Coturnix japonica: one gene and its partner. Each later gene encodes a partner of the first gene's protein in a complex. Links are inferred from orthologs where the notes say so. Each region holds a gene or a part of one and is shown on either strand. Other genes may lie near its edges.

Region 1 (4,354 bases):
ACCAAGTCCTGGATGCTCAGTTCCTTTATTGTCTTTCCAAAATAACATCCTTGGATCTGGCTAAGCTCCCACTTAAATTGCAAGCAGTGGATGTTCTTTTGTTGTTTGTTTTTGTTTGTTTGTTTCAATTCAATTGACAATTAGAGACAAATTCTGTAATGTCAAATTATAAGGCCTTATTTTTTAAATTTATTTTCTGCAATCCAAATCAGAATGAAACATTCTGTTTCATTTAGGAGTGTTGTTTTTATAGATGTAATTTAGGAGCATGAGGAATTCTGTGTTCACAGTTCACTGGGAAATAAGACAATGAACAAAATAGTGAAGAGTGATCATGCCCACACTACAGCAATTACTGAATAGACTACCTGTCTTAAAGTCGTGCCTTGCCCAACTAACAGTGCTCAAGCTTCAAGAACAACTTATCAGATCAGTTCAGGCAAGATCAAACTGGAAATTCTGGAGAACTTCTGCAGGAATACTATCATAGGACAAGGTGGAGTGGTTTTAAGCTCAAGGTAATAAGGTTTAGATTGAATGTCAGGGGGAAGTTCTTCACAGAGAGGTTGGTGAGGTGCTGGAACAGGCTGCCCAGAGGGGATGCAGATGCTTCATCCCTGGAGGTGTTCAAGGCTGGGTTGAATGGGACCCTGGGCAACCTGGTCTAGTACTAGGGCAGGAGGGTTGGAATATGATGATCCCTGGAGTTCCTTCCAACCCAAGCTATCCTATGATTCTATGAATACCAGATTGCCCCATTTGGTCATTTATAGGAAGAACATTGCTCTGTGTTTACCACTTGTTAATTCTCACATACTCATAAATACTTTACTGAATATGCTCTTGGAAAAGGAAATGAAGCCCCGGTCTCTCCTCTAAAAGGAAAGACCACACTGAAAGGATAGGGAGCTGACAACACCTCTGCAATGCTCAGCATCTCCTCCGTCCCTTTCTTCAGTTTGGCTTAGCCCCAGTGAATACTGATGTATCCTTTTATGAAATGTAACATTTTTAACAGGATTCGGATACTGAGTAGCTTAGGGCCTGTCTATAAAATAATTCTCATGGGCAATCCAATGTTCATCAGACATGTGTAGTCAAATCCCACTCGGCTGCTGAAGGGCTGGATGCAGAGAGTTTACTGTTCTTTTGCTTCCCATGAAAGAAATAACGTATTTACCGGAATATAACCCTCCCTCTTTATGCCATTTATGGGAAACACGTCACTCAGAGTTTATCAAGCAGTTAATTTATAACAGGCAAAGCCAGATGATCACTCTTTGGAAGAGCAAATATTTGTTGAAAATCTTCTATATGGGACAGTCACATTCACATCGTTTTTGAACGTAGTTGATTAAGTAACAGAGAAACTACCTAATAGGTAAGTTGAGATTTATCTGAATCATTTCAATTGTAAAGAGGATTATCTTACTATGTATGTTAATATTATTAAATATATTATATGTAGATAATATTTCTCATATATTCCCTAATTAGGATTATTTAAATGGTTATAGATCTTGATCAGTGTTATAATATATTGAATGTTTTTCTTACTATAGTAACTTCAAAAGAAAAAAAAAACTGAAAAAGTAACTTTATCATGTTTTTATTAACTAAATTGCCACTCCTTTTGTAAAGGAAGCTCTCAAAGCTAGTAATAATTCACTAATATCACTAATAACTCTAATTCACTCTAGCAATGTAAAAATGCAATCCTATAATGTGCAAAAATATCACCTTATTGTTACCAAAACTGTTTTATCCTAGTCCTAGAGGACATACTATATTTCTAACTGTTACTGAATGACAAAGCTGATGCAATATTTATGTTACGTTTTTGCAATCTCAGTCCTGCAATGACCGTATAGTGAAATGTTGAGGCTCTTAGTCCCATGATGTGTGTAACAAATGGGCATTTGTGTGTGCATGTGGAAGCAGAACTCCATCCCTGAGTGCTGAATGGTCTGGGACATGTATGTACACAAGGGCTGGGTCTGCCCATCTTCTCAGTCTGAAATCAATTTGTGCTGGGATGGCAGTGCAACCTGGCATTCCCCATTTGGTCTCCCCATCTTCCTGGGAAAACTTGGTGGCCTTTCTGAGCCAAGTATCAAGCAGCCCTTTCAGAACAAGATACAGCAGTGGCATCTGCCAAGGGCAGCGCTGTCAGGTGTTGCAGTGCACAGAGAAGATGGAGAAAATCACAGATTCATAGAATGGTTTGGGTTGGAAGGGACCTGAAAGCCTACCCATTTCCAGCTCCCTGCCATGGGCTGGTTGCCACCCATCCAACCTGTCTCTCTCTGAATGCTTCCAAGGATGGGGAGCATCCACAGCTTCTCTGGACAGTCTGTGCCAGTGCCCCACTTCCCTCTGTGATGGAATACTACCAGAAGCTATGCTTTCCAGTCCCTGTCTCTGATCTTGCAGCATTCAGGGTTACCCCTTGAAGAAGGGATGATTCCCTGGGCAAGATTCACACACTTTCAGGTCCATAGGAGTCCTTTTTGTTGCCACAGCATTGAGACAGAAGTGCCTTGTGCCTATCTAACCTCCCACAGAAGAAGGTGACTACACAATGAATAGAGGTGCTTGGCAATTGTAAGAGCTCTTAACAGCTTTGAGTTATAGTTGGTCGGGGAGAATAAGTGTCCCAAATCTGCAGAAGCAGCTAGTGCACCTTTTGCCAAGGCAGGAGATGAATTCAAGGCAAACCCTTCCTTACTCTGCTCCTGCTGAATCCAGACCTCCTAAGTGCCAGGATGTGCAGCATATCAGCTTAGATGAGGGCCAGCACATAGGGCTGAGAGCTGGGTTTTCATTTGACTTTTGGAGATTACTTCAAACACAGATTAACCAATCATGAATGCATTCATGATCTACATCTCACTGAAGACAAAGCAAGAGTTAATGGCAAAGAAAAATAAAGAAAAAATACAGCCACAGTAAATTGCATATTTTAGTGTTTCTTGACTGCCATACACTCAAGAGAAGGCACAAAATTCAGAGATCTCACTGCCTCCCCATTAAGTCATTACAGCCCATCTGTGTCACATCAAGTACAGAACGTGACCTATTATCTCCAAGAAAAATAGCACACCACCTGGCTGCCAAAAACACCCTGTGACTTGGCACCCAAATGTCTCTGTACTCGCATCAACGTACCTTTCTGAGACTAACTCCCACAGCCTGAATCAGGCAACTGTGAAATTCAGTTGAACTCTGAATAAATGGCAATCAAATAAAACCAGCTTTCCCATATGCCAAATCACAAATTGTACAATGATTGTTATAGAGCCTTAACTAAACAGCCATAGTTAATAGTTGCCATGTGTTTTCTAGATTGTTGAATTGCTTTAATTATGGGTCATACAATCAATATTTTCCTCTCAGGTTGGATTGTAGAAAAAAATTATTCACAAAAAGAGAGTGGAGATATTGGCACAGGCTGCTCAGTGAGGTGGTGGAGTCACTGTCCCTGGAAATGTTCAAGAAAAGGGTAAAGGTTGCACTGAGGGGCCATGAGTTGGTGTTTGGACTAAATGACCTTAGTGATCTTTCCAACCTTGATAGTTCTGTTTCTGTCTTTTTCACCTATTATCATGCCACTGCTACACACATGGATTCTGTGCAGGCTTAGTGGTCTTGTACATCCTGCTCAATCTGCAATGGGAAAATTCACCTGTATTCAAGACTTCTTTCATGGAGAGTAATTCAGTGCCACTTTATGGGAACAATATTCACACATCACTTTAATGGAAAGATGAATGATCAGCATATTTGCATTTCATGCTTGAAAAGCATATTTGCATGTTTGATAGTAAAGTTTGCCTAAGGCTTTTCTGGAAAACATGTCCAGATCTCCCCAAACATATTGTTTGGTGATGAGAGAACCTCTGCTAAATTTGCTCAGAATTCACAACATGTATAAATTTGTAATTGTTGAACAACTGTTTTGCCTTCGTGCTACTTGACACTGAAACACAGTACTTTCAGGCAGGATACAGCACTGACAAACCTGCTCCAGTATTTGCTGGACAGTGAAGCATAAAATGACAGGGAATCCCATGTCAGGTGATCAGAAGAATGATCTGAATGGAGTAATAAGCAACCTGTATCAGAAGGAAGTGAATTGAAATTATGCAATGCAATTGTTACTCATAATGACATTGTATTTCCAGTTCAGAACTTCATAAGCTTTCCAGGGCTTTGTGACTATAAGCAGTAACATGAAATTTCATGCTGACCAACTAGAAATAACTGTACATACTAGGCTGTCAGCAGTACATTAGCAGCTATAGCACTGTCCTCTACATGACACTGAGGTTAAAACTTCAGCCTGGTTCTCTTG
Region 2 (3,652 bases), on another chromosome or scaffold:
AAATTCCTTTAATGTTTTGTTTAAAATTTACTGTGATGAACAAAAGAGTGCATCTAAATAACTTACCTGTATTCTGTTTTATTCTGCTTCCTGGGAAGAGACTGCCACCGGGTCCAATGTTTTAAGTGTTCCTTCTGTTGTGTGTTTGTTCAGGGTTTTTTGTTCTCTTTTGGAAGTAGGAAAGAGGAGGGTTACATTGTACCTGTTGGTTATGAGGGGATAGTTCTAGTGTTTTTTCAGTTTTTAGTTGTTTATTTTTTTAAAGAAAATAAAACATTTTTCCCCCCTCTTTGACAGTCTGATTTTATTTTACTCGCTAACTGAAGTATACAGTGAAGCAGACATAATTCCTACGGCAAAACACAGCTACCAAGAAAAATGTTCAGTGTGATGAGAGAATCAGATCCTTTATCAACATACACATTTAAATGCTTGGAGTGTCCCTTGTCTTTATAAATTGTACTTCTACAAATGCTGAAGTAAGAGTATGGGTTTCTTCAATCAGACCTAAGGATAGCAAGTATGAGAAAGACTTACTCTAGCAACATTTAAAAGACTAGAAAAGCATTAGTACTTTTTCAGTTTTAGAGCAAACAGTTTAGTAAACTTAAAGTTCAGTCTGTTTATTAGCAAAGCAGCTAGGTTTTCCGTCATGGCTTTTACAGTACTGTGTGTCAACAGAGGAAGGAAAGACAGATGGGCTTTTCTGTACGAACTGGAGTTAAATAGGGTATCATCATTGCAACTTCCACTGCTGCAAATTGTGATAGCCAGGTGGCTCTACTGGTTGCTTCCTCGTGTTTCCTTGCAGCGATTGGTAGGGGTTTGGTGTTGGAGGATTGGTTGTGTTTGCTTCTTACTTCATTTTTTGTTTAAACCATATCATGTACCTAGCAGTGTTGGTAAATAAAAATGTTTTCCTGTCAGCATCTTCTAGTGGCCAAGGTCCCAGGATACCAGTCAGAAACCACGTGCCTTTATACACAGTGGCAATAAAGCTCCCTCCAGCCAGCTGTTTGTCTATGGCCTCCTGGCTGTGTCCACAGAACTGCCTGTTTGTGAGGCTTACGTTGAGTATTTGTTCACAGTCCTCGGTGGGGAGATATGAAACCTGCAACCCGTCGCTTTGAAATTCACCACCTTCCATTTTCCAACCAGTGACTGTACCAGCCAATTTGGGAATCAAAATGTGTTCTGCAAAGTCTCTTTCAGGGATGCATACAGGAAGCTGGTGGTTACTGCACTCAATGTGCTCTTGGAGTTGTAGGAGTGCAATGTCATTCTCACCGGTGTCTTCATCATACCGGATGTGTATGTGTTTCTCATGAATTTCCATGATCTTCTCAGCTCCGCTTGTTCTGTTACACCCTGTGAAGCAATGACATGTTGACTGCTCTTAGGAAGAAATTACCAGAGACTTGATAACTGCATGCACATTGGTAACAGCTGCCTAGTTGTGCTGAGGAGTATGTACGCTAGAGAAAGATGCTTTCTTGAAACACGTATGTTAAAGGTGAACTAAGAATGACAGCTTCAGTCTTGGGTAGATGCATCCGTAAGTGCCGCTCTGCTACACAGGAGGCTCGAATCCCGGGGGTTGGACTCGATGATCTCTGAGGTCCCTTCCAACCCGCACAAGACTGTGATTCTGTGGTACTGTGATAATTCAGATGGGAAGGATAAACACCCACCAATAGAACTGAATTTGGGCACGAGTAGTTTCTTTCCTTGGGGGTGCAGAGCAAGTGAACTCTAAATGAACCCAGTTTAGCTTATCCATGCTGAAAAGTGCTACAACCAAAGAAAATGTTTGATCACCTACCAGCGCCAACCCTGATTTTAAAGTGATTGTGCAGAAGGGCACACTGTGCCGTGGTCAGTACAAAATTGCTTTTCAGCAGCACTCCTCCACAGAAACCTTTCCCTTCTGAGTTTAGCAACAGGACCTAAGAAAATACAAAAGGAAGATAAGTAGTTCTGTCCACAGGAAGTTGAGTAATAGACTTCATGAACTGCTAGAAATACCTGCCAAGGAAATTGTTTGCCATGTTCCTTTGGGGTTTCACCAATCAGGTTGTCGCTGTCTTGAAGTGTGCCACATGCACATTGATCTAGCAAACAAACAGACAAACAACAACAACAAAAACAACACCCCCCAAAACAAAACAAAACAACTCATGCTGTAACATTTCAAGACAAAAACTATCTGTATATTATTCATTCCTTATATGCTGTAGTGTTTGGGTAAAGGACAATTTCTCAGCTGGTGAAAATCAGAATAATTAATTTAACATGTGTTGTCTGGTGGCACTGGATGGTTTGGTCACTGTGTTAGGCTTGTGGTGACCAGATTTCACTGCCTGTGACTTAGGAACAGAGCTTCCTCTCCAGCCAACTGTCATCACAGGTTGCTTCCTCATCTTCGTATCTGGGCAGGGTAATTCTCAGCCTTCATTTCTGAAGTTAAGACTATAAGGGGGATGCCTTCGTGTTCTGGTTCAGAGGGGGAGCCTGCATTTCAAGTAGATCTCAGTTAATTTGCATTCACAACACCTTCTGACACCTTGAGTTCTCCTCTTGGATCACGTAAACCAAATTCTGTTCAGGTGAAGCTGAATCAGAACTAAGCCCCTGTAACCATGTGCTCTAACAGATAATGGCATTTAGCCCTCCTTACCAAATTAGAGCTGTCTGAAGTAAAACCCATCTGAGTTGAGCACTTGCTGTGATCATTAAATCTTCATCAAAAGCCACAGCTGCAAACTGTATTTGGCTCTCCTACTTGTTAGCATAGACAGGGACCAAGCATTCTACTTTGCTTTTAGTAGGCCTTGCATAAAAGGAGATGAGGTTGAATGAGGTACTTTGAATGAAACAATGAAGAGAGCTACCACTTCAAACTAACATGGCAGCAAGTTCTGCCCTTCATTTATCATACCATCACATGCCTGATCCGAATCAACCAAACCTCAGTCTCAAACAGGCAGGATATCAGTTACTTGTTACTGAGGTTAAAAAAGTAAGAGTGGAAAACTTGTAACATTGGGTTAAGTGTAGTGTAGAGTGATGCAAGTGTTCGCTGCACACTCATGTTCAAAAGTTCTGATCAAATATTGCTTATTTTACTGCTGCTCATGCATCTTTGGTAGTGATCCTTAGATTCCTCCTTTTTCTCTCCCCATTTTGAGAGGCCAGTAATGTTTCTGCCCACCCAAGCACCAAGTGTGGGTCCTCTATTTTCCACACTCACACCTACCTAATGGGATGCACTGTTTTTTGTCCTTCCCAAGCTCATAGCCATCAGCGCAGGAGCAATGGTAGGAATTACTTCCTGGGTAGCAGAAGTGCTGGCATCCTTCTTTCCCTTGGTGCCGGCATTCATTTTTAGCTGAATGGAGCAGACAGAGAAAAAGCATTAGTAACCAAGAGTCAAAGGGTCCAAGGCTGTGTCCTGGAAGCATTGCCTCACCAAAGGCGCAGTCTTCCCCCTCAAAGCCCACGGTGCAGGTACAGGTGTAGCCACGGATGCTGTCCTCGCACAGGCCGCCGTGCTGGCATGGGCTGGAGGAGCACCTCCATCCACCTGGGGAAGGATGGCCAGATGTAGATGGAGTTGGTGAAATACTCCCACCCCTGAGAGCTCAGCTGTAGG

What was found.
Region 2: the proteins of SERPINA10 (region 1) and PROZ are in contact, whole or in part, in a crystal structure (PDB 3H5C), measured with the Homo sapiens proteins. The link is inferred for Coturnix japonica from reciprocal best matches to the Homo sapiens genes SERPINA10 and PROZ. Residues at the interface, in NP_001094077.1 of Homo sapiens: Arg88, Lys89, Ser91, Met92, His94, Asp95, His257, Asp259, Lys260, Tyr261, Asn282, Phe283, Lys305, Met306, Asp308, His309, Leu310, Ala311, Leu312, Asp314, Tyr315, Leu316; in NP_003882.1 of Homo sapiens: Cys129, Pro131, Cys141, Leu142, Pro143, Ser151, His250, Met251, Arg252, Asp254, Ala257, Glu259, Asn260, Glu284, Lys285, Asp286, Phe287, His290, Leu291, Thr336, Thr337, Arg338, Arg390, Ser392, Leu393, Trp394, Gln397.

Annotation. Positions count from the first base shown.
Region 1 is NC_029520.1:41,271,720-41,276,073, reverse strand, and holds the start of SERPINA10 (protein Z-dependent protease inhibitor), read left to right. Parts: upstream 1-1,276; 5' UTR 1,277-1,381; intron 1,382-4,354. UniProt on the Homo sapiens protein: Inhibits activity of the coagulation protease factor Xa in the presence of PROZ, calcium and phospholipids. Also inhibits factor XIa in the absence of cofactors.
Region 2 is NC_029516.1:123,914,864-123,918,515, forward strand, and holds the end of PROZ (vitamin K-dependent protein Z), read right to left. Parts: intron 3,584-3,652; coding exon 3,470-3,583; intron 3,389-3,469; coding exon 3,257-3,388; intron 2,112-3,256; coding exon 2,026-2,111; intron 1,947-2,025; coding exon 1,823-1,946; intron 1,369-1,822; coding exon 857-1,368; 3' UTR 603-856; downstream 1-602. UniProt on the Homo sapiens protein: Appears to assist hemostasis by binding thrombin and promoting its association with phospholipid vesicles. Inhibits activity of the coagulation protease factor Xa in the presence of SERPINA10, calcium and phospholipids.